Bombyx mori: one gene and its partners. The protein of the gene in region 2 interacts with the protein of the main gene of each other region in a pairwise test. Links are inferred from orthologs where the notes say so. Each region holds a gene or a part of one and is shown on either strand. Other genes may lie near its edges.

Region 1 (10,604 bases), on a different chromosome or scaffold from region 2:
ATAGTTATGAGGTTATGTCACATTGGGTTAGGTTAAAATAAAAAATATTTAGTACTTACAATTTGGACAACTCCTTTCGTTTTAATAACCTTGTGAGCACATTTAAAGCCATTTTCAATTTATTTTTGTTTTTAACCAGACATGCGATGAGCTATTTCAATGAAGAAGTTTAAATACGAATAGATAAAAACACATTTCCTTGCATTAATATGTATCGCAAGCGGTTGAATAGTTCTGTACTGCTATATCTTTATGGTACCTATGCTATTAAACCACTTGTATCAAATTTATAATTTTGCTTTTAGTTCATAGGTAATATGTGCGTACATTGTACACAATTTTTCTTTACTTCATTAAATTCAGACTTCGGATTCTTTTTTTTTTAGGGATTTTATGACCTGGTAACAGAGACCTTTAAGTCATGTCTTATTTTTATTTTATTCTTATTTTTATGAAAAATTATAATATGGGGTGAAATGAAATGAAATGATCAATTTGGGTCATTAATCAACTGAGATGAAACTAAATGAAAAGAGATGACGGTGGTCATTTACTGAGATTTTTTCAGTAGACTTTTTGGAGGATCCCGAGAAGCTATCTGCAGCAGTTTTATTTCATTTTCCCACATTTGTGCACTTTCACAGAATATGAAACACTTAATAAACCACCGTTATTACACATTTAAACCCGAAGAAAAACTACATAGACAAAACCGCTTTACCGCAGCAGTTCCCGAGTGCTGCACGAGCTTTTTTTAAATACCTCATTAAAAATTACATTTATGATAGTTAATGGTACTGCCATCTGCTGGAGCAACGAAAAACTAATAACACGACATCTAGTGGCTGACGCCCGTAAACAGGGTGTGCTAAGTGAAACGACATAATAGCTCGCTTTCTACCTTTCCAAGACAGAGGTTCGCGAGACGCTGTCAATTTTCTCTCCTGCTCGTACTAAATTGTATATTTTCTCTCTAGCCGTAACGAATTTGTCGCGGGATAACACCGTCCTAGTTCCACTTCATGAAAATGTGGTTTTCACATTGAAAACTCACTTGAAATTGATTTTTTAGGCCGTTTTCTGTGAATCGATTCATTAAGTTAGGTAAAATTTGGATAGACGTAAAAATTATTTTTTTAAGAAGATTAAAGGCAAGATTTGCGATCCAGCACTCAGCCCAGAAATACTTTTGACACTTGACTGCAAGAAACCCTCACTGTCCAGAAGCTATAGGGAAGTAGGTACATACCTATCTGCAGATAAAGATTATCCCCCTTTCAGTTAAGAGATGAATTTTAATCCAAAAATCTCGGAGTGCATCCAGCGTGACATCTTTGTTTTCCAAGGAAAAGGAAATAATTATAAAAGAAGTCAATTAGTATTCTTAAATTATTTATTCATACAATGTAATTATACAATGAAATGTAACAAGAGTGGAATGACGGCTTAACGCTCTAAATATTAATAAAATTCTACATGAATTTGACGACATTTATTCTACTTGGAAAATTTCAGAGTAAGAATGCACTATTTTGCAAATCTTGGGTAGAATCACAATAAAAAAATATCACAGTTTTAACATAATATAAATAGTGTTACCTATAAAATGTTGGGTCGCTAGTGGACATTACAATAAATAAATTAAACTAGCCACAACTGTAATATCCAAACAGGATCTACAAATCATAACATTTATCTATATTACGAGGATTCACCCTCTTAGAAATGCCAACAAAAATCTTATTTAATAGTCGTCAAATCGTTTGTAACCACTGCCCCCCCTTTGGCTACTCTTGCCAAAATTGCTTCCGCGTTTAAAAGAGCCGCCACCACCTCGTCCACCTCCGCCGAATCTGTTCCTGTTCCACCCGCCGCCACCACCACCGCAACGGTCGGCCATCGACTGCAGTTGTGGGCTAATAATCTAAAAACAAACAATATAAAATTGTAATCTATGCCCAGCTACAGTACAATAACATATCAAAATATAAAGTGAATGAATACTTGTTGAATCTACAAATGTTTCGACTTTGACAAAATCCTTTCCTGATATACCAAGAGAAATCTGATAAATCATGTAGAATGCAGGAAAAAATCTAGACTTTATTTAATAAAATGTCACAACATTTGAGGATGGGATTCAGGCATTTGTTTAGCATGAACACCGAAGGCATATAGCTGTATTTAATGTACCTCATACTTGCATTCATGTCACGCTATTGAAGAACGTACCCATGCCAAAGGTATGAGGAATGATTTTAATTTAATTGTATATTATTTATTTAATTGTAAAATCAAACTTCTAACCTGATTAGCTTCTTGTAGAACAGATACCAAATCTTTGGCTTGACGGGAATTTGAAGGGGTAAAGAAAGCATATGATGTTCCTTTTGATTTTGAACGTCCAGTTCTCCCAATACGATGGATGTAATCCTCCGACGAATTTGGATAATCAAAATTTATTACATATTTGATACCATCAACATCTGTAATACACAAATTAATTTTAAAGATCATAATTAATTTAATTAAGGATTTAGTTATTATCTTGAATATCTCACTTTTACTTACATGTTTGTATGAGCTACACAGATAATAACAAATATAACAATGTTGCCTCTCACTGAGAACCCTGGAGTCTAAAGAGGGCAAATCTCTAATTTTAATTTCAAATCTTTTGTTTTAATATTGCCCAAGACTCCACTGGCCGAAACAGAAAACCCTTGACCTCTTGCCGATCATCAGTCAAGTTTTTCAACAATGCACCAATCATGTTTTCTGACCTTATTTTTCAATTGAATAACGCATAGTAAGTGCATCACCAGGTTTTCAACTTTCAAGTCTATCCGCAGTTACGGACAAACCATCAAGCTTTCCGGCCTCGGGTCCAAATGTAGTGAAAGGCACTATGAGGCACCATTATAGTGACGAGTTATTGCATTCTCTACAGTTTACAACTGAATCAGTCACTCATCTACAAATCCAGTAAAGTAATTTGGCATTCAATTGCCAGTTTTCAAATAGAACACAATAACTTTCCGCCAGTGCCTCTGAAATTATAAATGAAATTATATTTATAAATTAATAATTAATTTGTATTTTTTATCATAAGAATTAAGTAATTTGATTAAAAAAATATCTCACCAAGCCCTCGAGCTGCAACATCAGTTGCTACAAGAATACTAGCACGACCTTCCTTGAACTGATACAGAACTTCATCTCTTTCTTGTTGAGTTTTATCGCCATGCATGCAAACAGCTGGCCAGCCATATCTCCTTATGTTCCTTGATATGTTCTCAGCTTTTCTCTTGGTTTCAACAAAAATTATTGTTTTCGCACCAGGTTCTTGACTTTGTCCAATTTCTTGCAATAATACATTTAATCTGAAATATAAAGCATTACATTGTCATTGCCAGATTATTCATCTTGTTTAAAGTAATAGTACTTAAACATCAGATCTTCTTAGAGGAAATTTGTTGGTCAAATCATGAAGTTATTCATTTTAACAACAAATCATCATTTTTCAAAACAATTACTAAAATTAGTTGGAAATTCTACTCACTTATTTTCTTTTTCATGTTCTTGACAAATATCTACAATTTGAAGAATGTTGTGATTTGCGGAAAGTTGTAATGATCCTATATTGATCTGAATGTAGTCTCCCAAGTAATCCTCAGCAAGTTTCTTCACTTCTTTGGGCCAAGTAGCTGACCACATCAAAGTCTGTCTGTCTGGGCGTATTTGCTCAATGATTTTTCTGATTTGTGGTTCAAATCCCATATCCAACATACGATCAGCCTCATCAAGAACTAAATATGTGCACCGCTGTAAGTTGGTTGTGCCCTTTTCCAAGAAATCAATTAATCTACCTGGAGTAGCAATGACTATTTCTACTCCCCTCTCCAAGTCCCGGGCTTGCTCTCTTTTAGGAGCACCACCAAACACACACGTGTTACGAACATAAGATGTGTGTCCAAAATCTGCAGCAACTTGCTGAATTTGTTGTGCTAACTCTCTGGTAGGCGCCAAGACCAAAGCAATCGGACCATCACCTCTCCGAATAGGCGGTTGGTTGTTTATGTGCACAATGGCTGGCAAGATGTAGGCCAACGTTTTGCCGGAACCCGTTTGGGCTACGCCAACTAAATTCTTTCCAGACATAGCTATCGGCCAGCCTTGAGCTTGAATGGGCGTCGGTTCTTTGTAACCCATTGTCTTTACACCTTGTTGCACATAATCAGGAAAATTTGCTTCTTCAAAGTATTGAATAGGATTATGAACCTCAACGCCACTTACAGTTACCTCGTGATTATTTCTGTACTCTTCGACTTCATATGGTGATCTTTTGAGAACTGTAGGATGTGGATCATAAAAGTTTTTGTTGAAAGGTTGGAGCGAAACAGAATCCCAATCTGGGCGACGCATGTTCTGACCTCCAGAGAATTCTTTTTTCCCACCAAATCCTCCAGATCCTCCAAATCTATTGCCACCGTTGCCAAATCGAGAAGAATTATCGCCGAATTTGTTGCCTCCTCCAAATTTGGAACCACCGTTTCCACGGCTATTATTCCAGTTACCAGACCTAGTGCAAAGGAAAAAATCAATACATTGCTTCGCGCTTGCGCTTAACACGCCAGAAGTAACAAAAACGTTGCCATTATTGTCAATGCGCATGCGTGAACAGCTAAAGACAAAATGGCTTCATGTAGATTTGTTAAAATGGATAAGTATGAATTAAATAAATGCCACTACACACTTTCTAAATTAAAAATCATTTCAAAACCAAAATAGGTTTTAAAAAGATCGTGACAGAGAAATAATCTTGTGATGAAAAACCGAAATTCAATTTAAACAAGACAATTCTAGCTTTCGTGGTAGATGGCCTTTTTGACCATTATTTTTGACTAAATTAATGGAAATACTCTCACATCTGAAATATACGTTTAAATAGAGTAATACTTACATGATTATTTTTCGGATTTAGTTGAAGATGTTTATTTAAACTATGGATTCTTTCTGACGCAGGGTCCACCTAAAAGGAAAAGATAAAAAATTCTGATCACAATTTGCGCTGCACCAACAAAATAGTTTCACGGAATTTGATTCACGCAGTTTCGGAATAAGGTTTTGCAGGACGAATAGAACTTAGAATATTATTCAACTGACAAATCAATAATTCGAACAAATTTACGTGAAGTGACGTCCTACCTTGACCACTGCTGCGCGATGAAAGAATGAAAGGATGAGAAGAACAGAACCAACTTCCTCCATGAATGGGATTGGGAACTGTCAAATCGATATCGAATGGAACTTGTTGTTTTAGTGTAGGGAAAAATCACAGTTTCGAAGCGAATGAACGGTCTAAGTTCGAATAATCGTGTCATCCAATAAATAATTATTACATGAATTAGTTCAGGGACAGCTAATATACAGGGTGTCCCAAAAATAATGGACAATCCTGAAACACCTCATAGTAGAGCAAATGGGGACTGAAAAAAAAAATTTTTTTTAGTTAGTCCCCAAATTAAAAATAAAGAAAAAAATACCAAATTAAGTTCAGATTAGCTTTTATAAAAAATTACACTGGCTACTCAAACGATTTCCTGCATATTTCTTAGTATAGTCCATGTAGAATATTATAACACCAAAAGCCTGTAGATTCCATTTATTTGTAGCTGTTGTATATTCCAGAAACGCACAGCAGTATGGAAAATATAAATTTCTTTTTTAAATAGTAATTTGGGTACTACCTGAGAATTTGTTATTTTATTTTTTATTTTGTGTTCCCAATAGGTTTTTCAGGATTATCCATTCTTTCTGGGACACCCTGTATACATGAGTTAGTTCGGTAAAACCAAAAGGCTCTTTAGTAACCAAATAAAAAATATACAAACTACAAAACAAATTAAAAAAATACATTTTGTAGTCAAGCTTCATTGGTAAGCACAGCTATTTGTATACTTCTTCTAAATTCTTTTCAATGCCATATTTTATTTTTCCGAATGTAAATGATTTACCTGGAATTTAAATTATTTACGAATCAATAATCTACAAGAAAATATTGCATTAACCTACTACTACTAATCATCTCTAATAAATGAAGTTCGAATTTAAAGTCCATATGTTGAAATAAATTTGATCGTCCTGTTTATCTTGACTTGGGTAAAGCAATGAAATAAATTATAGGAGAACTTTATATCAAAATGAGTAAAAATAGTAAAATGGGTATCGAGATATATTCAATTTCGAAATCACAATAGTATTTCGATTTTAAATAGCTACACATCCTTAAGTTGAATTGAAGAATGAAAATTTTTAAGGTACAAATTCCTGAAACCTTTGCTACAAGTTCACGTGAACTAATTTCAGTGTTACAATATTAATATGATTTCTAGTTCCTAAGTTTCTTCTACCTTCCAAGGTGAATTCTACCATTTCCTTGGACATAATTAGGAATGTACGTAAGGAGTATAAAATTACGCACTTGCCGTAAACTGCAGCTTCTTCAATCTTTCAATTCCCAAAGATACATTTTGTTACAATTTTATTTAAAACTAGCTGACCTGGCAGACTTCGTAGTACCTCAATCGATCAATGAAAGAAAAAAGAAATTCACCCGACCGGGGACACATCAAAGGAAAAACAAAATTGTTATTTTTATTTAATTCCGAGCATTTTCATATTTATCTACCTTTTAAACCTTCTCTGGTCTTCCACAAATAATTCAAGACCAAAATTAGTCAAATCGGTTCAGCCGTTCTCGAGTTTTAGCGAGACTAAGTTAGAACAACAATTCATTTTTATATATATAGATAAATGAATTGCTAAAAAAATGAATATATATATATATATAAAGATTCAGCTGTGGTAGTTTTTTAGAATATCGTATCCTTTATGTTGACCGTGTATTTCTAATAACATAAGAGGCAACGTGCGGAATTCTACGAATGGTTCTATTAAATTTTATATAAAAAATGCAGTAGGTAAGTTTTGTTGTGTATTGTGGTGACCACACACCATCAAGTAGACCGTATGGTTGTCAGCATAAGTATATTGCCAATAAATTCAATGATGATGATGATGATGATGATATGAAAATTTTCCCTCAGTATAGACTTTTCCACTTGGAACTTGAACTTGCTACCTTGAACAATATAGATAAATATACTTGAGACCTTAGAAAGGTGGGTGGCGCATTTACGTTGTAGATGTCTATGGGCTCCAGTAACCACTTAAGACCAAGTGGGTTGTGAGCTCGTCCACCCATCTAAGCAATAAAAAAAATGCTACTAACAATAAAAATCTATTAATATTACCATCTATTTTTTTCCCCTGCCTATTCCCTGGGAGCCAAATAGAGAGACACACAATTGAAATTTAATCAAAGAACCATTTTTCTAACAGAATTTTATAACCTTGTATTTTAAAAGTGTTTGCTCTTCTCTTAAAAAAATAAGATAATGAGGGATATTCCGTGCCTGAACTAGGTAAACATTTCGCGGAAGAGCCGCAGTTGAGGAGCTAAAGAGCAGCATGCGAGCCGCAAGCCGATCGCTGGCCTAAGGGGCTGTTCTAGCTGCCAAGTAATTCATGCTTATGATTGTAATGCTACTACCTACTGTGAACTGTGGCTTCACTTGATTTCTATATTTAATCTACTAAAAATCATTCAATTTAATCAATTCATTCATTCGTTCATTGAATATCTGTAACTTTTAGGTCAGTCAACTTCACTGTAATGAAATTGTCGTACTCTGAAGTTGCATTTTGTTCATCTTTCAATTATTTTATGAAGTTTTTTTGTGTGGATTGTCAAATTAAAGCACAGCGGTGTGGTTTTTATTTCTCTTTAACATTTTTAAGTATATTGTAATAATTTTATTAAAAAGTAACCGTTGAAGAAATAATTAAAAATGTCTATGCAACCGCACAGTAAGAAAAGAGTGTGTTACTATTATGACAGTAAGTAAAATAAAGTTTTACCCGCCACGGATCTCCATTACATCGCTAGTAACTTAAGAATTAGTTTTTGTATTATAAATAATTAATATGCGTAGTATTCATATTTTAAATACAAATTTCCACACGGCCTAGCTCTTTTAAGAACTTCAGAGATTTTAAAGCTTGTCTTAGGATTTTTATGACATTGTTAACTCAGTTCATTGTTTCATTTTACGACGTCTGTACAGCGTTCCGCGTTCCTATTGGGTACACGGACTTGCTCGTATTACGATGTACGAGGTACAGACGGCTAAATATGAAGCCGTAAAATGATTTAAGTAACATGTTAATAAAAAGTTGAAAATAATGCGTGTTATTTTTATTAAAGGCGATATTGGAAACTACTATTACGGACAAGGGCATCCAATGAAACCTCACCGCATACGTATGACCCACAATTTACTCCTCAACTATGGACTCTATCGAAAAATGGAGATTTATGTGAGTACTGAAATTACCTTTTAAGTGTAAGTTCTTCAATGATTTGAGATTTTATAATTATATATTTTTAAACAGAGGCCTCACAAAGCCACAGCTGATGAAATGACAAAATTCCATTCAGATGATTACATTAGATTCCTGCGTTCTATTCGACCTGACAATGTTTCTGAGTACAACAAACAAATGCAGAGATGTAAGTTATTACTAATTATTATCAATATTATTTAAAAAAAGTATTAATTATTCATAAATGCTTTAATGAAAATGTATTACCCTTGAAGACTTACCTGTTAAAGCTAATATAACAGTAGAGTTACTTATTTAGTGTGTTATTTTATATTAAACTATATTTTTTCAGTGTATAATATTATAATAGATTTGTCCCACAGTTTCAACTATGTTCAGCTTACAATAATGTGAATCTACTACAGTGGAATCTTACTATATTCATAATTTGTATAAAAAGATGATGAAAATAATAGATTGAATACAGCATATTTTGTGTAAAATTGTGGAAAATTCCTTTGATTCACTGCTATGACACTGAAAAAAATTCCTAAATTCAAATCTTTGACTATACCACAGCATCTAGTTGTGTCAGTCAATTGTCACACTGCTTGATAAGTATAGATATAACATACCAAAATTATAAAGAAAAAAAACTACTTTCCTGTATGAGCACTCTCCTTGTCTGCAGCCTGTTTAGTTGAAACCAATGTATCTGCTGTTTATTGCAGGAAGAAAACCTTTATAATGTACATATTTATTTAAAGAGTATGGTGAAAATGGTGTACAATCCTATTGGTTTTTTGTTAAAGTTCCTATAGTTCAAAGCATCAACCAAATTATTTTTGACCTATCCCTCAATCTACTGATGGGTAATATCCTATAAACTACATACCTTTATTAGTGCCTGATCACATTCAGGGATGATATGGAAAATATTCAACTTATTGAATGTGACTAATTTTAATATACATTTTGCAGTTAATGTAGGTGAAGATTGTCCTGTTTTTGATGGCCTGTATGAATTTTGTCAGTTGTCTGCTGGGGGTTCAGTTGCAGCAGCTGTAAAACTGAATAAGCAGGTAATTAGTCTTATTTTTTTATTTATTTTATTTTGTTAAAACAAGTTTTTCAGTTTAATTAGTGGCGATGAAAACTGTAATTTATTTAAAAAATCAGAAATAATATAACAGCAATTGTATACATGACATTAAACAATAAAAGTAGTTTTAATTACATCCTCTACTTACATATGCCAATGAGAAAGTATTATTTTCATTTGTTAAAATTATTATAATTTTACCTTTTTAGTGTTTTAACTTTAAAATGGTTAAAGACAGATGAGCCCCAACCTGATATTAACTGATACTGTGTCAGAGATGAATAGAACACTTAAATTGTGTTTATATTGATTTTAAAACAATAAAACAATAGATTTTTCTTATCTTGTGAGATTTCTAATTTGATTCTGCAAGTTTTCTTAATTTTATAATTATATAGTTATATAGGTTTCATTTATAGTTATTTATAACTATAAAATTAAAACATGTTTGTACTGATTTTATTATTGTTATAATTTTTTTTTTCCTTACACTATAAGTTAGATTAGTTTTCGTTATCGTGTTGTTTTGTCGTAATTGTAAGGAACGTTGATATACAAATTCAGCACTTTATAGTTTTGTCGTGCGCACATAACTTATGTTGCAAGCCAGATTTTGTTTTTTTTTTATTTGTGTTTTTTATGTATCTTTAGCTTGTGATGTGTATTGTGAGCCTAATAAAAAATAAAAAAAATAAATTGTTTTAGGCCTCAGAAATATGCATAAACTGGGGTGGTGGCCTCCATCATGCAAAGAAGTCTGAAGCGTCAGGTTTCTGTTATGTTAATGACATTGTTCTTGGCATATTGGAGTTGCTGAAATACCATCAAAGAGTACTATATATTGACATAGATGTGCATCATGGTGATGGTGTTGAAGAAGCTTTCTACACCACGGACAGAGTAATGACCGTTTCCTTTCATAAATATGGAGAATATTTTCCTGGAACAGGTGATTACATTACTTATTTCTATTTAAACTTGTTCAAAACATTAAAGTTTATTTGAGTAATATTGAATGATTAGCACAAAGATATTTGTACCTTTTTATCACATG
Region 2 (10,816 bases):
ATTTATATCTAGACCACACTTTGAAATTCAACATGCTCTTGAGTGTAGAATAATTCAAAGTAAATTAAAAAATGTATGTTTTTATATCAGCGGATGTCACCCCACAAGGCCAGTTCGAGGTTCAGGCCGTTCCTAGTGCTTTGATGCCAGCATCCTCAAGTCAGCCTAGCGGTCTAGAGAAAAGTGAGAATCAGGATTGTTTAAATTTATATCAGCAAGAAAAGAAATACTAAATTTTAATCTTAATAGACATGTGTAATAATTTAAAATAATTAATTTAATTTTCAGCTGATGTCACCCCACAAGGCCAGTTTGAGGTTCAGGCTGTTCCTTGTACTTCAATGCCAACATCCTCAAGTCAGTCTAGCAGTCTAGAGAAAAGTAAGAATCGATTTCATGAAAGCAATTCTAAATTTTAGTTGTAACGAAGATCTGTAAAAATAGTTCAAAATTCCTACTAATATTATAAATGCGAAAGTAACTTGTCTGTCTATTACACTTTCACGTCTAAGCCACTGAACCCATTTTGATGAAATTTGGCACAGACAATTTGTAGACAGAGAAAGGACACAAAATACTATTATCAAGTGATAGTACAGGGACATGCGATATAACCGAATCCCATGCGGGAGAAGCCACAGCCGAAAGTCTAGTTTAAATAAATGAATATAATTTTTTCAGCGTATGGTTCTGGTTGTGTTTATTTAACAACTAGCGACCCGCCCTCGCTTCGCTTAGGAAACTGTCATTAATTATTGATTTCTCCACTATTTAATGGATGTTATTATACATATAAACTTTCCTCTTCAATCACTCTATCTATTAAAAAAAACCGCATCAAAATCCGTTGCGTAGTTTTAAAGATTTAAGCATACATAAGGACAGACAGATAGATATAGGGACAGAGAAAGCGACTTTGTTTTAACTATGTAGTGATACAACATGTTTAGTTATTGTTTTAGCTATTTTTTTTAATATTGTTTATTTGTATTGTACTGTTGGTTTCCCTTATAAATAAATAAAATATAATAAGATTATAATACATACTAATTCTATTGTACTTCATATATTTTTACAGACGTCACCAAAGGAAGCCAGCGGAAAGAAAGTGAAAGTCAAATAAGAAAAAGAAAATTAGAAGATGTTGGTGAGTTTTGTATTATTAACTCCATCTACTTATAGCACCACTTTTAACGATTGGTCAATAAGTATTAATGTAATTTTTTTGTTTTAGATGTTACACCACGGAAAAGGAAGCTCTTAAGTGAATTGAGAAAAACAAAGTGCACATTGGCATCATTAAAAAAGAGCGCGAAACTAATAGACAATTTATCGTCAGAGTTTCTAAAAGAAATTGTCACGTCTGCGTTGATAAATCAAAAGCGTAAGTCACAAGGCAAACGCTGGACTATTAAAAATAAAATATCAGCATTAGCCATCTTCAAGCGTTCACCAAAAGCTTACCGATATCTGCGATATCTCGCACCATTTCCGAGTATCAAAACATTGCAAAAATTAATGAAAAAAATACCTGTTGAGCCAGGTTTAAATACAGCTGTACTTGACCACCTGAAAAAACTAGCTCCCATTAAAAAAATAAGAGCAAAATTATGTTCGCTAGTCTTTGATGAAATAGCGTTAAAAGAAAGGTTAACTTATAGCGAAGCCACAGATAAAGTGGAAGGGTTTATCGATTATGGATATGAGAGGAAAGATGAGCTAGCAAATCATGCCTTAGTCTTCATGTTACAAGGTATTGGGAGAAAAATTAAACAACCGCTGGCATTCTATTTCATAAGAGGCACAGTATCTTCAGAAAAATTAGCAGTTTTAATAAAAGATATAATTAAAGAAATTACTAACTCGGGATTTCAAGTTTTATCAACAATATGTGATCAAGCGCCCACCAATATGGGAGCATTAAGTCTGTTAAAGGAGTGGAACAATGGTGGACATAATTATTTTGAATTTGAAAATAAAAAAATTTATATAATTTATGATATTCCACATTTATTAAAATCACTGAGAAATAACTTTTTAAAACAAGGATTTCTGAAAATGGGAGAATTGAAAGGTCAATGGAGCCATTTAGTTGAGGTAGAGGAACGAAATAGAAATTTTTTATATCTTAGCAAACTCAAATCAACTCATGTACAACCAAAGTACAGAGCTAAAATGAAAGTTAAGTATGCCGCACAAATATTTAGCCAAACAGTGGCTGCTGTTCTTAAATTATTAGCTACGAATGTGGAAAATGTACACCGATCAGATGAAATATTACAGACTGCTTTGTTAATTGAAAAATTCAATAAACTTTTTGATTATACAAATGGGCCATCAGGACATGCTGACGTAAAAAAAGGTATACGGGAAAACGTATCTGCTAAAACTGACCATTTAGCTGTTTGGACAGAATATAGAAAGCAACTGTCTACTTTAACATTTTTCAACCATAATGGCGTGGAAGCAAAAAATGTAAAGTGTGTTCAAGGCTACATTATATCATTAAAATCGCTGCGTGATATTTGGCTGGAAGTTCAGGATTTAGGATATAAGTATTTGAATCTACGGCAGTTAAACCAGGATGCATTAGAAAATTTATTTGGGTTAATAAGACAGCATGGTCAAACAAACAAGCATCCGACGTGTTCTACATTTATAGCAGCTATGAAAACCTCTATAATATCAGGACTTACCGCCCCTCACAGCAAAAACTCCAATTGTGAAGAAGACAAAAAGGAACTCATGACGGATTTTCATGATTTAGTTTTTGGGTTTAAAGACGAAGATGATCAAGGTCAAGATATTAATGAGTCTCCTAGTCATGTTTCCACAGAAAATGAAAATGAGGAAGACAACCCGGTTCTCAGTATACCTGAAGAAGAAGAATATAAAGAAATAGTATGTGACCTAGCAAAAATTTCAAATCAACCAGTGGTCTATATAAGTGGATATCTAGCTTCTGTTATTCTAAAAAAAAATGATTGCCAGGTCTGTAGAGAAACTTTGACAGTTGCAGATCCAGAGGAAAATAAGATTTATGATTTAATTAAATTAAGGGAGTGGTGGCAAGATAAGAAATGTTTGACATATCCATCATTGCAGTTGTGTCAAACTGTACACACTGCGGTTACAAATTTTGAACAGTTTTGTATCCCTAACCTACATAATAACAATATTTGCCAGTGGACAATTACTATATTTTATTCAAATTGTAATACAGAGTGGCTATGCATTAATCATCGTCAACAAATGTCAGACTTATTGTTTACAAAATTGGCTCTAATGCTGATTCGGCGACAGTGCCAGATAATTAATTTAAAGCAAGTTTCAAAGGAAGAGGATTTGGCGGACGCGAACAAAAGGGGTCAACAATATGGTGTTTCAAGATAATTACATAATTAGTTTTTATTTGTTTTTTGTAGAAAGAAGTTAACTTCGGGTTTGAGTTCAAAAAAAGTATACATTTAGAGATTTAGAACTTTATTTTTTTACTATTATAAAATAGAAGTTTTTAAAAATTTACTCTTCAAATGGAAATAGAAACGAATTGTTTTTTATTTAGCACAAAAATTTTCAAAACCTAGTTCGTTATAACATTATAAAACAAGGTTGAAAACCTCTACATGTATACTTATTGTACCTTGCATAAAATTAAGTAAATATTGGTTTATATTGTAAAATAAAAATTAAACATTTCCGATACAAACTTAAAATTTTTTGTAAGCGTTAAAATTCTACTTACAAATTTCATTAAAATTATACTAAGTAATAAAACATTGTTTTATTTCTTTTAAAATAATAAAGTTTTTATTTCAATATGCAATCCTTGCCTGCATTCGATATCGACAAAAATATCGATAATATTCGCATCATTATTTATTGGACATCGATATTAATGCCCATCACTATTTTTGACAGTGGTAGGATTTTTGTAGTCTGTGGTTGTTTTAATGTTGTCACCAGATCGGATCTGATCCCATACATTTTCATTTTGTAACGTTTACTATGAAGTGCGGACTCTTATAACGTAGTGATTATATACTCTTTGGCAAAATTAAATGAACAAGCAGTAAATTCAAATAAGAAACTTGGTAAATAAAATTTAATGCAGAATCTGGGGTGAACTTAATTGTTTATGATCGGAATCAATAGTTTTACTCGGAATTAGCTGAGTTTACACTGTATGGTGGCGTTAAGCTATACATTTGATTTCTATGAAATATCAATTCAGAAATGAAATGGTCCTCTGTATTTCTTTGTTTAAAAAGTGAATAGGTAACAGATTAGACACTAGATTTCACAGGGGAATTCCAAATTCAAAACGTATCAATGATTCATATTGTAAACTTATTTCACAGTGAAAGGCAGTGCTTTTAAAAATAAATCTATCATAGTCTATGCTTGAATTCTCTAAAGCGATTGGTCAGTGAACCGCTGCGAATATTCGTTCTCGTTCGGAAAACGCCAAATACGCTTTCAAACCAAAATGGAGGATTTGTCGGTCGAGGTGTACGGTGAAAATGGTGCTTATTATAAGGTTTGTAAACCGTGAAGTACGCTAAAATTTGAGTAAACACGCGTCCCTCTAATTAGTTTACAGATCAATCAATCGTAGCCGATGACCAGGGCAGTGATATGTCTTATACTTACAAAAATATTTTTCCGGGAAGATCTCTGCTGGAATAGACGCCATGTCCGTCTGACAGGGCGTGATTTTTCCATGTGTTGTAATAATTTTTATGCTTGTAGTATTTTTAGAAAATATCGTGCAGTAAATGGATGTCTGCTCCTCATGTGGTGATTTAACATTAGCGTATTTTCGCGTAAATGACCTAGTTATCACATCCGCAGCGCATCACCAAGTTGCTGTGGCTTTAAAATGTTCCAAAAATTCTTTATTTTTAGGCCATTGTCACCGACGTGCTCGACAACGAGGTTCTAGTAGCCTTTGAAAATGAGTGAGTTTATTTATATTTAGTATGTAAATTTATATACTAGTGTATAAACTGTCTTATTTTTTGTAAATTTATTGACTACGTTTGATTAAATTTTTAGCTGGCAGCCAGAATCAAAGTTTCCGTTTTCTCAAGTTTTCTTACCACCTAAAGACACTGGCAAACACACAGAATTTACTGAGAACCAGGAGGTGGAAGTATTTGCTAGGTCTAATGAGAAAGAAGCGTGTGGGTGGTGGACTGCAAATATCAAGGTATTGAATTACACACACATATATTAAACAAATCAAAATATGATAGAATTTTATTCTAGAACAAATGTTTTCGAAACTACCCTTCATCTTGTTTACTTGTACATGATTTTCTATTTTAAACCCTAATTTCTACCCTCCTTTTTGCTTTTTTGTTAAAAATTTTTGAAAACTTGCCCCAATTTAACTTAGTCTGTTTGGTTTTATTTCAAAAATATACTAAGATTTGTTGCAATTTAACTTCAACAAATTTTATTAAAATTTTTTTTAATTTAATTTATTAAAAGCGAATTAAACATTTGGTTACTTCAATTTAGAGTCCTTTGAAGTATTAATCCAGAAATACTGCCTGTATACAATATCAAATACAGCAAATCTTGCTATGTTAAATTCATCACATTGCATAATAATGTCTAGACTATATTTTTGTTTTTGTTTCTATAATAGTTTTATGTAGAATGTGGAATTAAGAATCATATATGCCAATAAAATGTCAATATTTTTTGCAGATGATGAGGGGTGATTTCCTTGTGATAGAATATCTAGAATGGGATAACTGTTATACGGAAATTGTGCCTAAAGATCGTCTTAGGGTAAAATTACCGAAGACCCCAATAGACAAAAACACATTTCACAAGTTTGAAATAACAGTACCTGATGAACTGAAGGACTAGTGAGTTATAATTTGAATTATAATATTTATAAAAAAAAAACATGCATCATATTGAATAACAATCACTTCCCAGTTGGAATAATGTCTCCATCATGCTATTATAAAAGTGGGTATAATGTATGCTAGTGTTATTGAAGTCCCATGCAGCTGTCAAGTGGTCTCTTACAAATTGGTAGCTAATGGGATAATAGAAAATCTTAAGATAGCTACTCTCCTGTAATATTTACTAATGTAATAAATATTTCATATACATTTTTAACCAAACATGACCACTAATAAAGCATATGGAGTAATTATTATTACATATAACTCTTACACATCTAACATTGTTGATATCATCTCTTTTGCTAAAGTAAAAATACGTAGTTGTTCACTAGGGACCACAAACAAACATATTAGAAGTATCATTAGTTGGTAGAAGGGAGATTGTGAAGGGGTAGGTACAAGAATTCAGTATCTGTTTTGAAATGTTCATATTCATATTATTCATATCTGTAGGTAGGGGAGTTTTTATATCAATGCTATTTAGACTTGAGTTGTTAAGGTAGAATGGATACATTGATACTAGTAATGTTAGTAGTTAGCTGTAAGCTGATCTGCCCAACATAGCAATAAGAAAGTTAAAGAATATGTGTAATGTATTCAGTCTGTGAACTATTTATGAATCTATTGAGTCTTAAATTAAATTCAACCCTCCTGTAAAGGTTCCAACTCCTAAAGTATGACATAATCTGCATTCATACTAGAAAAGATAAATTGAATTATTATTCCATTTATATATTGGTCAAAATTTTAAGAAAACAAAATTTAGTACCTGAAAAAAATTTGTTGCATTAATAAATAGTCTGATAACTTCATAAATACTAAAATATACCTAACTTTAAAATTGAATAGGAATATAAAGATCAATATGTTGACTAAAACTGAGCTTATGATATTTTTGGGATACAGGTGTTAAATTCAACAGTGTGGGCAAAGAGGATATGAATTACTTGTAATTTTTTGTCTATTACAACTTAAAATAACTTTTTAGTTAACATCGCTAAATGCTGGCTGGTGGGTTGATTCTGTTTGGACAAACCTTTTTTTTAAATGAGAAACATGTTTATTTGCTATGTCTGAATGGTTTATTGTCATATATTTAATTGTTTATAAATTTTGATGTCTTTTTAATATATCAGTCTGGTTCACCATATACCATACTACAGGAAATAATTGTTTGGGGAAAAAAATTAATTGAAATTTGTTAAATATTCAAAATTAATTAAAGGGTCAAGTCAAGCAGTATTTTAATAAATAAAACCATTGGTAAATAAACCAACTGAATTTATTATATTGAATACGGTGGTCACTTAAAGAAAAACTTCAAAAACCTCTCAGCCTTGTTACAACTATAAAATATACTACAAATTTGTGCTTGCTTGGGGTACAGCTCCCATAGGATAGCATTACATAGTTAGTATTTCCATTTAAATTTTATTTAGATATTCACATCATTTTGACTAGGTTTCATACTTTGTGGAAGTTCTGAGGTAAAGGAGAAACTTTAGCTCTGTTAATATCTTGTATAGCATGGAACACTTCAGGGAGGAATTGTTTTGGGGGTTCACACTTTCATTTTTACCTAACCATGAGTGCTATAATATGTAAGATCAAAATGATTTTGAATGGAAGAGTGAATAATTAGTCGGACACAAGCATGGCTGATGTTGAGGTTGGGTCGGCAGTAACTATATGGTGTACGTGTGCAGCCTCCACGACATCCACAGCGCGAAGGTGGAGAACGCGCACAAGGAGTTCCAGAAGGCGATCGGCGCCGCGCTCGTCTGGTACGTGCCCGAGCGCGCCGTGCTCGCCGTGCTCTCCCGCTGCGCCTCCTCGCAGCGCCGCGCCACCATGCTGCAGGAGATGCACTTCCGGTACCTCCACACCCCCACCCCACCCCACCCCACCCCACCCCACCCCACTACACTACACTACACTACACTACAGTTGAATATGCTATTTCGAAAAGGGCACATCTCTGAATATATAAAATGTTCAGGAAATGAAAAAAAGTGATTATTTTCTAAAGCAGTGTAAAATTTAAAATATTAACTTTAGAGACATATTTTAGTGTTAATTGGCAATTGAAAATTACTGGAATTATTATAAAATGGGTGTAGGTAAGCCTCAAAACTACATGTATATGAAAAAACCTATTTGACAAAATATGCGACATGTGCCCTTTTCGAAATTTCATATTCAATTATAAATGCTAGCATTACTAGCTTTATTAGTGTGGACGGTCTTAAAACTCATGCCACACGATAAAAGGACATGCTCCGACGATGTCACGTAATATAGGATTAAAGCAAGAAAATGGATACTATTATTATCAATCACTACATGTGATATTTGTGTTATAAAATCTATGGACCGCAGTCGCTCTATAACATGGCGTCCACTGTGATCAACTGTACTTGTCTATGTAAGATAAAAAAAGATGTTTCTCCCGCCTGTCGAAATTATAGCCTAGCCGATAGATGAGCACTTTGTATAAACTCTATTTGGGGTACTTGAGCGATCTGACTATTTGATTGAAATTTCTTTTTATTCGAGACCGCTGAGGTACTTGATGGGGAGTAACCACCATACTTCAGGGCCATTAGCAAATCTAGATCTGCAACCAAGCTGTAAGATAATAGAAATGATATCAGTCAACAGGGCAGTTACTGGTAATACTAACAGTTTAAATTATTCAGCAATGTATAGGTAATATCTTAAATATTAACATCTCTAAACGTAATTCGCGATACCCACATATACCATCAGAATTATCTATCCGGCCATGCATAGCCTCCTCCGACTTATTGAAGGATAGGGATAATGCTGAGAAATATTGACCATACATTGGTTAGTTACTTCACTTGATATTCATGTGTTTGAACTATATGGCCACCTACTCCATATCAGGTCACGATCATCACAACAACCAAATAAACGGGATATCCAAATAATAAAGAGACTTAAAATCTACAATAGGAATAGGTTAGCTTGTAACCTCACATTGGCAATGTTCGTAATTAAACACCGACTAGTACAATCCTTAGAAGCCGAATATGACACATAACTAATTGTAAAAAAAAATACATGTACTTGCCAAATTTTATATTAAGATTTAGTGTCTCGTGTCTTGTTTTAATTGATTGCAGTAGTAATAAAGTTTATTGTGGGACATGTATTGCGCGTTGTGGAAGCGATACCTTTCACTTTTCACGCAATAGTTCGCAGGTTCGGAACTAGGCATGTGCTGATAGATGTAGCATATTTCTTTTTCTTTCTTTTTTCTTCACATTCCTCTAAGTCATGTGAATTTTATCCAACTGCTCAAAGATGGCGGCTCATTGGGAATTGTTTCAAATCTTTGATCGCATTTACCACGTTTTGAATAAACAGATAAATTCATTTCGCTTACAAAAACAAAATCTAACAATTTCTAATTGAAGTAGACCGTAACAGCTGCTACACAATGTTCTTGATTGAAATAGTCATGGAATGCTGTTACACACTAATCTGTAAAAACAGGTATTGCTTTCTTCCATATATAAGAAGTTATAAATTACAAAAAATATTGTAAATCAGTAGATACATACATAAAGTGACTAGGACCAAAAGGATTAATCCTAGGACCAAAAAGGAAATTAGACAATTTAATGCACCGTAAATTCTGACTGAGAATATCTACTCACTGAATCTAATATTTAATATGGCATGGATCGTAGTCATGGTTTGGTTACATGCAAGAAAATAACCAAATGGTTTTGTTTTATATAGTAATAAAATATTAAATTTTAATTTTCAGAAATTTGACCCAGAAACTTATGTTATTGAAGAAAACAGAGGAGGCAGCGAGGCAGCTTGAATCTACGAAAATAAACAATCAGGGCGGGTGAGTCACTACTGTACACGTGCTCTCGTTATGATTCTCGAAAAAATCGTTTTTGTTTAAAAAGTGAGAAACTATTATACTTTCAAACAGTTTAAATAACCTACTGTGAAGTAGGAACCAGAACAAGTTAATTATATTTCTGATACATTCAATATTCAGCATTGAACAAGGATCTCAAGTCAGAAATGTTGACTTGTGGTCCTGTTTTGTTGAACCAATAGACTCAGGCTTATCTCAATATAAGTTTAATGGTTGAACAAAACTGGTGCTAACATTATCTGGAGCCCCCAGGACCGCCGGCCCTTTAGATTGTGCCGAGACGGTAGTATTAGGCTCTCCACATTTTTTACTCTCCTCTTAATTCTCTACATGAGTACACGATCAAAGTACGCACAAATGCAAAAAATGACTACACAACCACAACACTTTGATTACTGACTGTTGACACATTCACCTTTATTAATTAATTAACAATATTTAAATTATTATTTTTGAACAAAACTGAGTTAAACAAAAGGTTGTGTAAGGATGTTTTATTTTCCTTGACATCTGGCGCTTTGAATATTCAAATATAACTATATAATTGTAATATTTCTCTGGAATTAATTAATATACTTTAACTAAATTGCAAAGCACAATTTGTGCAAAATAAATACTAAGAAATTTGCTAAGTCAATTATATATTTTTTCATTAGTTGTTTTTATAATATTCCAAAGGATTGACAAAGGACAAAGGATTGCAGTAGAAATTTTTCTCAATTTAATTTCTTGGCTTTAGAACAAGTAATGATTATTTTATAATTTCTGCTGGTTAGAATTTTACACTGGTGTGTCATGTAGGACCACCATTTGGTTGATTTCTTGGTCTATTTGGTAATAATGGTAATTAATATCCGAAAGGCCAAATGCTCAAGTTCTTTCTGAATTTTATTTTAAAATATTTCTAACTTCGAGCTTGTGTGTATTTGTTTTTAACATCTCCTCAGTATGTTTGTGGTACACA
Region 3 (10,042 bases), on a different chromosome or scaffold from region 2:
CACTGAACTTCATACTTGACGAAAACATGTAAATGTATTATTGTATAGCAGCTGTCCACGCGGATGCATCGCTCACTCAAGTAGAAAAGAGACAGATGTCGAACGCTGCCGAACGCGGAGCCGATTGTGCCTCTTTGTCGCTCGTTGCGCGCTCTCGCTTGCACTTCAAGCCTTAAATGGAACGCCTCAGAGCGAGGTAATGCCGCATGAGTCATGTTTTTTCGTGCGTGCAGCCGGTTCCATCGAATTATAAGACGTTGTCACGTCAAAAAAGAAAAAGAGGTATGATTCCTGCTTAGACAGAACTCGGAAAGAACAACGCTGGCGAACGCAAATTTCTTCAGTACAGAACATGACACGCTGATTACCTCGTAATAATCGTAAAGACGAATTGAAAGCAACTATAATAACAAAATAAGATTATAGTTTCAAATTTTTGAGAACCCTAAAAAGGAACTTAATTCTAATGTTGTACAATCTTAATTAAAGGCAATGAATTATAAATAAATAATAAAACGCACTATAAGTTGTTAAAAAATGTGAATTATATTAATTAATTATTTTATAACAATCCGGTTATGAGGAAGTCATTTAAATAGCTCCAATCTGAAAGTAAACTTAATTTATAATAAATAGACAAATTAAGTCAAATAAATTTTAAATTCCGACTTCGTAGCGTCGTCACTACGAGATATTGATAAAAATCTACTCGTTTGTTTTCCTAGGAAAGCGACAACGTTTAGCACTACAAAACAATTACGAAATGAAATGAGAATCACATCCAAAAAGTTCTGAACATATTATATTATTAAATTTACGTTCGTTCATAGCGCAGTCTTAATTCTTGTAATTTAAGTAGATACTAAAAAGCGGATTTCCTTGTTAATATATTACTACGATGAAATTTCAACTGAATATTCATTACGACTGGTAATAAATATAAAATGGATAAAATCATGCCATAGTGCCATCGATTTTAATACATAATTAGTAAATAGAATAAAATTTATTGCTTAAATTGATGGACGAACTCACGGTCTATCTAGTATTAAATGGTTACCGAAGCCAAAAGATATCGACAGCGGTCTGAGTCCTGAGTTCTGAGTCTCAATTTTTATAGTACAACGGCTGCCCCACCTCTCAAACCGAAACGCAACGGCTTCGCCGAAATCATATTCAGGATGGCGGCCGTCACTATTCGACCGGGCTTGCAACACGCCCTGCCACCAGTCAATAGCAGTGATGATCAAAGTACACTGGTAGAATACTAAGATAACTCTTTCACCCATTCTCTGATGTATGCCTTTGTCGCCTTATACGAACTCATGCGAAGAGATGGGGCTGTGTGACTATATACATTAAAAACACTACAAATTCAGTCCCAGTGTATCCAGCAATATCGGGAACTCATTAAATATAAAAATCGTGATAAAAACACTTATAAAAATACTTAACTACTTATAAAATACATAAAAACACTTAACTACTTATACCGTATTTATAACTAACTACTTATACCGTATTTATAACTGGTTTTATTCTAAGCTTCACTGCCAAAGATCCCTTTGTTTCCTACTTGGTTATTGATACGCGGAACTGTCTCCTTTAACCTAAATGCATAATACGTAGCCATAAGTTCTGCAAAACAATATAGCAACTAAGAATTCAATATTCTGTTTTACTAAAGCGTTCGAATTCAAGTATTAAGGCTTTTGGTAACTAGTTTGCGTAACGCAGCGATCGTGTTACGACTCACGTAAGCAATAGCCTATAGCTAAGCGAATAACCGTTAAAATTGAGTCCATGATCAAGTTCAAGACTATTGATAAATATAACTTTCGTAATTTACATAACGGTTATTAAAAAAAAAATTAAATTGTATACAACTCAAACAAAATAATGGTAACAACATTAATTTTTTTTGCAAGGTTGTATGTGCATTAAACACTTTTCAAACTGGACTTACTACAAAACTAAAATGATATACTATATTTCACTTCATTTATTTAGTTCTTGGTTTTGATGGACAATCTCACGGCCCCACTGACGTTAAAGCAGTAATGGATCCTGTAGACATCGGGAAGAAGTCGTAATCTTGACTAATAGTATAGTAATTGACTAGTATAGATTATTGACTACACTGTACTTGCAGAAATAAAAAATATAAATCCAAATATAGTCATCCAGCGATAGGTATCATATACTTAATCCAATTCACCCATTTCGAGAAAACGGCGCGGCACGAAAACCCTCTTGTCGTGGTCGCCAGAAACTACATACCCGATCCTGTGCATTGAATCGTTAGAATATATTAAATTGCAGGAGGATTTCAGTAATGGTGCGGCGACTAAACTAACCCATAGACACAACCACCTAAGTTTCTCGCCGGGTCTTCTCAGTGAAATTCGACTATAATTAATTGAAATTGTAAGTTTGTACCACGGAATAGATAAATAAGGTTGGAAAGGCCTTTGCTCTAATTTTGTATTAGAACCAGTGTCGCCGCTTCATCCCCACTATTTTAATTTCTACACATACACATACTGTGATTACAAGTATTTCGCACACAACAAAAACACCCACACATAAATCTCAGGACAGATATTCGTTCGCAAACTAGCACAAAACACCCGTAGGCATACACACTCACACATGCAAAAAGGCAATAAAAATGTTCATACACCTTATTTATCTATTCCGTGGTTTGTACACTATTATGATTGTATTTTCAAAGACTATTATACTTCTATAATCACAAATTTCGCCAAGACTACACTATAGAATAATATTAATAAAGACAAACAATATTTTTAATCTATTCTCAATTTGACCACAGACGTCAAGAACAAAAGTTTAACAGTAAATAGTATGCATGCATGTGTGCGTCAAATACATGGTAGTGTGTGTAATGCTTTTTTTATTGATTTAATGTATTTTTAGGCATAATTTAAAAAAAAAAAACACTGCATTCCTTCTCTTTATTCTTTACTAGCGGCCCGCCCCGGCCTCGCTTAGGAAGTAGCGCACGCGATGTAAAGAATTTTAGGTAATTTTTTTACACATTGGGTTACATTAAGGATTACTGGAGTTTCCTCCTTACTCCTCCGAAGGAGTTTCAGTAAGGCTCCCAATTTTTTTTGAAAATGTAATAAATATAGCCTGTCACCCGGGGATAGCATAGCTTTCCAACAGTGAAAGAAATTTTTAAATCGGTTCAGTAGTTTCGGAGCCTATTCAATACAAACAAACAAACAAATCTTTCCTCTTTATAATATTAGTATAGATAAGTTTGGGAAATTTCATACTCCTCCGTCCACGCAATTTTCGTAAAAAGGGATACAAAGTTTTTCCTTCACGTATTAATATATAGATATTTTAACGTATATATTATGTAAGAATGTTTGTTAGTCTCTGGTACCCATAACACGCGGAATCCTAAATTGAGGGCGGATGACTTTATTTACTTACGAGTAATTAAGTATTCTACAATAAGCTTGATCTTTTATTGGTCGTAATATCTGAACAATTTAAAACAAAATGGAAGACATACATCTTTTCGTTCTCTCGAATTATCTATACATGATCAGAGAAGTAGCAGGCCAGAGCATTTAAGGAATTGAAATAAAACACTTCACATTTCTACTGGACACTTTATTGAAATAAAATACATTATATTGATAAGATTACGTTTTTAGTTTAAGTTCACACTAGATTTGATTTTAACTTTTCAAATAACACAATCCAATAATATCCTAATAAAATCAATACAAAAATAGTTAGCACAAACAAAGAAAAGGCTTGAAAAAAAAAATAATTTTAAAACACGTTAATAATAAAGATAGGCGGTTGTAAATTTTAAATAAACGATACGATCATATTATTTTTCAGATACCAAATATTTCATACATATATGATTTTTAAATATAGTATGATAATAATAATTTGTCATTCATATCTCTATCTTTCCCTCTGATCAATTTCAAATAGTTATAACCGTCTTTCCATATGACATTGTATGTTTATTATATCCGATACACGGTTATGAGATAATTCACACTTCGGCAAGCAGTTTTTTTATCGCTTAGATGGTTGGACGAGCTCACAGCCGACCTGTTAAGTGGTTACTGGAACCCATAGACATCTACAACGTAAATGCGCCACACACCTTGAGATATAAGTTTTAAGATCTCAGTATAGTTACAACGGCTGCCCAACCCTTCAAACCGAAACGCATTACTGCTTCACGGCAGAAATAGGCAGGGCGGTGGTACCTACCCGCACGGACTCACAAGAAGTCCTACCACCAGTAAAAGCAGATGCAAATAAGCAGTAACATCTCGACTTCAGACGAATAAATGCGTGTCAAAGCATCAGAACCTGATAAAACGAATCCTAGCGCAAGAGTAAACAATATATACTCCGCAAAACAACACCATATCATATTATTTGAGAATATGATGATGGTGTAGGGTCTTAACCAAACTCGGACATCTTATCCTGGACCAATTATAATTTAAGTCACTCAATTTGTACAGATGAAACAATTTATATCAGAGTTTATACCTCCGATGTCGAGATACAATATATTATGGTTTTTACATGACAACCGCGATCTAAAAAGCGCTTGAGGCTATTTGAGTCTCACATGCAAATCTGTAAAACTAAGAAGTGAAACTTCTTTGGTTTATCTTCTGTATTTTGTGCGAGCGAAACCTACCGGATTAACTCGGTACAAAGAACATTAGTTTTTAAATTTTTCATTAACTCAAAGAAGTTTTCCTTAAAAAAATCATACGTTTTATATTTTCATTAAAAAAATCTTGATTTTACACAAAAAGCTATCTAATTTCTGTCATGAAACAATCATATTTATAGGGTAAGAGACGTGTTTATAATTTTCATTGCAAAAGGCATGGTTATTGATATTAATATAATAAGATTACGAATGAAGTCATTCGTTGTTATACGTGTTTTATTAAATAGTGATTACATATACATTTTTAAAATATCATCTTGTTAGACGAAGAACATACGGCTCTGTTTCAGCATGCTGTCGAGGACCCGGAGACGTTTGGGATTCTTCTCGAGATCGTTATTATTGAATATCTCGCCACTGAAATAAACAAAAATGTTAACACATTCATTCAACGAGGTAACATTTATTAGTGACTAGCGACCCGCCCTCGCTTCGCTTCGAAAACTGTAATTTATTATTGATTTCTGCACTATTTAATGGATGTTATCATACATATAAACCTTTCTCTTCAACCACTCTATCTATTAAAAAAAATGCCGCATCAAAATCCGTTGCGTAGTTTTAAAGATTTAAGCATACATAGGGATATATGGACAGAGAAGGCGACTTTGTTTTATACTATGTAGTGATTAGCGTGATTAGCGTGAGCTCGCGCAGATTACGACAAAATTCCGGTCTAGATAAGGCAAAACAAAAAACGGTTACCAAGTTTTGAAGTGATAACTTCTTCATCATTAGCCTATAGCAGTCCATTGGACATAGGCCTCTCCAATTGCAAGCCACTGGGCGTAACTTAATAAATTAACTTCTTATGGGTGGGTAAACCACTTCGTTACGTAACGCGTTACGACGCCTGTCTGGCTTCTCCTTCTCTCATGCATACAGCAGCGGTACTGAGAACGTTTTTTTTTCCTACTTATGCTGATAGCCTTGAGAGGCTATTTCAGCTTCACCCTAACGTTCGTAGGTGAGCTCGCGGGGCTCAACCGGAGAGTTGCTAACACTGACCCTAGCAAGAGCAGTGCTTCGCAGAATCCACCACCGGATCGGAAACGCGACCCACTGAGAAGATCCGGCGAGAAACTCAGTGGGCTGTGTCTATGGGTTAGTTCGCTCGTCGAGCCCTTCGTCGCAAGCGACGGGTTCGACGAGGACGGTGACCGGTGAGAACGTATACAACTCCTAGCTATTTATATATCTCTTTCAATTTATGTTACAATTTTCCTTGCATTACCATAATTGAGTCGTCTATTATCAAAGGTGGCAATCTGTACATTTGGACAAAAAAAATTTATTGATATGTCAATACAGATTTATTTGAATATAATCGTCTCCTTCAAAAAATACGGTTCAAAACCTGCATTAAATAAAGGTTAATAGTTAACCTGTTATTTATCTAAGATGTCGTTCCGAAGAGTTTTGTGACTGCCAATGGAATACAAAGTCAATAATTCGTTTTTCTGATTTACCAATCCAAAAGTCAGATTGCCGCCTTTGATAATAGTCGACTCAATTATTAATAATACATAAAATTTAAGTAATAACCTGAGTTTTTCTCAAGTCAAACAATTTCATCATTATATAGTTCAACTTAGGCGTCCCGAGACGCATATATAATATATTTTTAAATCATAGCTATCGCCTTAAGGATGACAAGGGCCTAGCTGCTATTTGCTGTCAGTGCGAGTTGGGTTAATACAAGTAAACTGGCGTCTCAAAGATGACTATTGGCTAGCTGTTTTTTACTATCGGTACAGGCTGGGTTAGGTCGTTTCAAGGATGACTTGCGCCTAGCTGTTTTTTGCTGACGGTACGGGCTGGGTTATGGCAAGTAAAACAAAGATAGTTACTAGGTGAGCGAGCGAGCCCGCAGACAGGCCAAGTGCGCGTAGTAGGTCGGCGCGGGGTATGACACGGCGCGCATACAACGCGCGTACAGATGGCACAGGTAGTACGCGAGGTGCTCCACTTCGTTCTCCGGGATCCTGCCGTCGTTGCAGACGGCGTGGTAGCGCGTCGGACGAGCCGTGCCCTTGATCGCTTGGTGAGACACCTACAAATGCGATTTCGATTATAATTTTAATTTTTTTTATTGCTTAAGTGTGTGAACGAGATCACGGCCCAGCCACCCACCTTGAGATATGAGTTCTAAGGTCTCAGTATAGTTATAGCGGTTGCCCCAAGCTTCAAACCAATACACATTACTGCTTCACGGCAGAAACAGAGAGGGCGGTGGTACCTACCCGTGCGGACTCACAAGAGATCCTACCACCAGTAATTACGCAAATTATAATTTTGCGGATTTGATTTTTATTATACACGATGTTATTCCTTCGCCGTAGAAGTCAATCGTGAACATTTGTTAAGTACGTATTTCATTATTAAATTATAAAAAATTGGTACCCGCCTGCGGGATTCGAACACCGGTACATCGCTAGTAACGTATGCACCGGATGTCTTATCGTTTAGGCCACGACGACTTCAAAACAACACACTGAAGAGTTTAAATCGCGTGAACTTATTTTCGATTGTAATGAAATTTGGTACAGGGCTTCAGTTTCTGACATAGTACCATCAACGCACGACAGGCGGCTCACGAGTAGATTCAACGTGACTTGACCGGATTTCACTTGTTAAATATATAATGTATATCGTTATACTCTATACTTACCAAATAGAAGTCCAATTCACGTGGATGTACTATATCACGGTCGACCACAGTCCCCGGATCGACGTTGAAACGGGCGTTGTTCCCGGGCAGGAAGAATCTAAAACAAATAAATAGTAAAGAATTTCTTGAGGAGCTAATAAGTACGTATTTCGAAATTATATGAATTTACTACCAAGACTTATGTTCCCAATGTTACTATCAGATAATTATAGTATAGTAATAGTATTAGTAATAGAATAGAGAAAGGCAACCAGACCCAAATTGCAAAAAATTTCTAAAACACAGTTAATAAAGTATATTACTGAATTCAAATCACTATTCATTCGTTGATTTTATCTGAAGTTTAGAATCAATCTACAAAATATATATATTTTTAACAGCAATTAACCCTTTTAGTGCTGTTTATTTACACATATTATTTTATTAAATTCCTAATTCGACTATATTTCTTTAACCTTTTTTCAGTGTCTAAATTCGTGTCAACTCACTATGATCTACTTTCTTGTTTTTAATGCCCTTGTAGGCAGACGAGCATATGGTCCGGATGATGAGTAGTTACCGTCGCCCATGGACGTCAGCAATACCAAGAGCACAGCCAAGCCGCTGCCTACAAAACTCAAAGCAAAGAAAAAACCAACGAACCTCGTGTGATGACGTTTTTGTACAAGAATGAACAATACTTCTGGTTTAGCGTTCAATCCCGCGACACGTTGGTAGGCGCGATGCAATCCAGTCAGTTCACTCTTCATTACCTGATTCATAAACAATAATAATGTACAAACAAATATCTTAAATTCTATATATTTATTGTTATAAATGAAACAGAGATAGTGGTGGTAGGACCTCTTGTGTATCCGCACGGGTAGGTACCACCGCCCTGCCTATTTCTGCCGTGAAGCAGTAATGCGTTTCGGTTTGAAGGGTGGGGCAGCCGCTGTAACTATACTGAGACATTAGATATTAGACATCTTAAGATGGATGGCGCATTTACGTCGTAGATGTCTATGGGCTCCAGTAACCACTTAACACCAGGTCGGCTGTGAGCTCGTCCAACCTCTAAGCAACAAAAAAAAAAATTTAAAATATATCAGTGGGTCGAGTTTCCAATCCGGTGGTAAATTCTGCGTAGCACTGTTCTTACTAGGGCTAGTGTTAGCAACGTCACCAAGTAAGAACCCGGTGAGCTCACCTAATCGCCCGGCGAATCTAATATGGCACTAATAAAATAAAGTAATAAGCAGTAATGGACGTCATATTACATCGTAACACGCACCTCAGCAAATTGACCCTCAGAAACCCCGTCACGGAACACGAACACCTTCTTCGGCAGAATCCCCTGACTTTTCTTGAAAGCATGGAAATGATCCACCATTATGTCCTCAAACTGAACGATCATCTCTTTCTGTAACGTAACAACGATTTGATTTTATAGCTTTGATTAATAAACAGATGATGACGCGTGTTTAATTTGGATCTCTCCTCTGCGTATTCTACAAGCTCTTCAAGGGAATAAGGAAGGAGTCTGTTGTGCTGTGTAGTTAGTCCAAATCACTTTTTACCATGTGAATCAATTACGATTTCCAGACTGTTTCTATCTGGTGATAACTGGTGAAGGAAGGATTTACAAGGAAAAATGAGTTAAGAACAAGAATTATGAAGTCCCAAGATAAGCATAAGCCCTTGACATTGCCAATTTCCATGGACGGCAGTAATCTCCACCACTAATATCTGCCGAGGTTACCAAAATGGCCAAAAAAACATTATATACAGACACTAATGGTAGGGCATCTTGTGAGCCCGCACGGGTAGGTGCCATCACCCTGCCTATTTCTGTCGTGAAGCATTAATGCGTTTCGGTTTTAAGAGTGAGGCAGCTGTTGTACAATAAATCTGAGACTTCGAACTGATGTCTCAAAGTAGGCAGCGGCATTTAGGTTATTGATGTCTATGGGCTCCGATAACCACTTCATGTCAAGTGGGCCATGATCGCGTCCATCGATCTAAGCAGAAAAAATATAATTTAAAAAATATAGGGTAGTTAGTGAGCATCTTTTTGTATGTTATGTGCAAAATTGCAAGAATAACGCTAGTCCCAGAGCTCTGTTGCGTTGAATTCGACACATATAATCAACACCTGGTTTGAGTGAAAATTTTCGTGATTCGAAGTTGAATTTTAAAATCAACACAATGTACGGTGGTCTCATGACTTTACCTTTAGCTACACACTAGCACGTGTTTCGGTTATGTTAAAGGTTGAAACTGGTTGAAAACGCTGGACACGTGTAGTATTAAATTAGGAAAAAATTAAACACATCAATCAATCTTTGGTCCGTAAACAGCCAGTCCATTTGTATATTAGCTAATACGTAAAATTCCCAACCAGTTAGCACAGTCGTAATCATTATGACAGATATGCCCGACGTTGCCCCGGTCAAATCATTCACTTCGACAATAAAAATACAAACATACAAATCATCAATATTAGTATAGACTTTTTAACATACCTTCGGTGTCTGTATACTCAGTTCGATGTTGTATATGTAGCATTTCGTATCCATCGAGGCGGTTACGGCGGCGATACTCGGTATATTACTCTGTAAATATCCGCAAATTTC

Evidence for each region.
Region 1: the proteins of RNA-binding protein FXR1 (region 2) and DEAD box polypeptide 5 interact in binary tests that used the Drosophila melanogaster proteins (3 or more experiments, as listed by UniProt). The link is inferred for Bombyx mori from reciprocal best matches to the Drosophila melanogaster genes Fmr1 and Rm62.
Region 3: the proteins of RNA-binding protein FXR1 (region 2) and Ago2 interact in binary tests that used the Drosophila melanogaster proteins (3 or more experiments, as listed by UniProt). The link is inferred for Bombyx mori from reciprocal best matches to the Drosophila melanogaster genes Fmr1 and AGO2.

What each region holds. Positions count from the first base shown.
Region 1 is NC_085117.1:13,611,188-13,621,791, reverse strand, and holds DEAD box polypeptide 5, read right to left. Parts: upstream 5,182-10,604; 5' UTR 4,966-5,181; coding exon 4,964-4,965; exon of another isoform or gene 4,675-4,963; coding exon of another isoform or gene 4,583-4,674; coding exon 3,563-4,582; intron 3,384-3,562; coding exon 3,145-3,383; intron 3,051-3,144; coding exon of another isoform or gene 2,971-3,050; exon of another isoform or gene 2,676-2,970; intron 2,487-2,675; coding exon 2,308-2,486; intron 2,252-2,307; exon of another isoform or gene 2,114-2,251; intron 1,925-2,113; coding exon 1,745-1,924; 3' UTR 1,376-1,744; downstream 1-1,375. Other genes in the region: uncharacterized protein LOC101736496, read right to left, coding at 60-112; histone deacetylase HDAC1, read left to right, coding at 7,914-7,962, 8,330-8,442, 8,518-8,635, 9,430-9,530, 10,256-10,499. UniProt on the Drosophila melanogaster protein: As an RNA helicase, unwinds RNA and alters RNA structures through ATP binding and hydrolysis. Involved in multiple cellular processes, including pre-mRNA splicing, alternative splicing, rRNA processing and miRNA processing, as well as transcription regulation.
Region 2 is NC_085112.1:15,603,559-15,614,374, reverse strand, and holds the start of RNA-binding protein FXR1, read left to right. Parts: upstream 1-4,371; 5' UTR 4,372-4,489; coding exon 4,490-4,540; intron 4,541-4,908; coding exon 4,909-4,961; intron 4,962-5,058; coding exon 5,059-5,212; intron 5,213-5,718; coding exon 5,719-5,882; intron 5,883-7,633; coding exon 7,634-7,801; intron 7,802-9,726; coding exon 9,727-9,813; intron 9,814-10,816. Other genes in the region: uncharacterized protein LOC119630931, read left to right, coding at 91-183, 289-381, 1,079-1,147, 1,235-3,393. UniProt on the Drosophila melanogaster protein: Polyribosome-associated RNA-binding protein that plays a role in neuronal development and synaptic plasticity through the regulation of protein synthesis of mRNAs.
Region 3 is NC_085118.1:6,268,526-6,278,567, forward strand, and holds the end of Ago2 (argonaute 2), read right to left. Parts: intron 10,022-10,042; coding exon 9,932-10,021; intron 8,830-9,931; coding exon 8,701-8,829; intron 8,180-8,700; coding exon 8,070-8,179; intron 7,525-8,069; coding exon 7,428-7,524; intron 6,810-7,427; coding exon 6,607-6,809; intron 5,114-6,606; coding exon 5,017-5,113; 3' UTR 3,637-5,016; downstream 1-3,636. UniProt on the Drosophila melanogaster protein: Essential for RNA interference (RNAi); double-stranded RNA induces potent and specific gene silencing.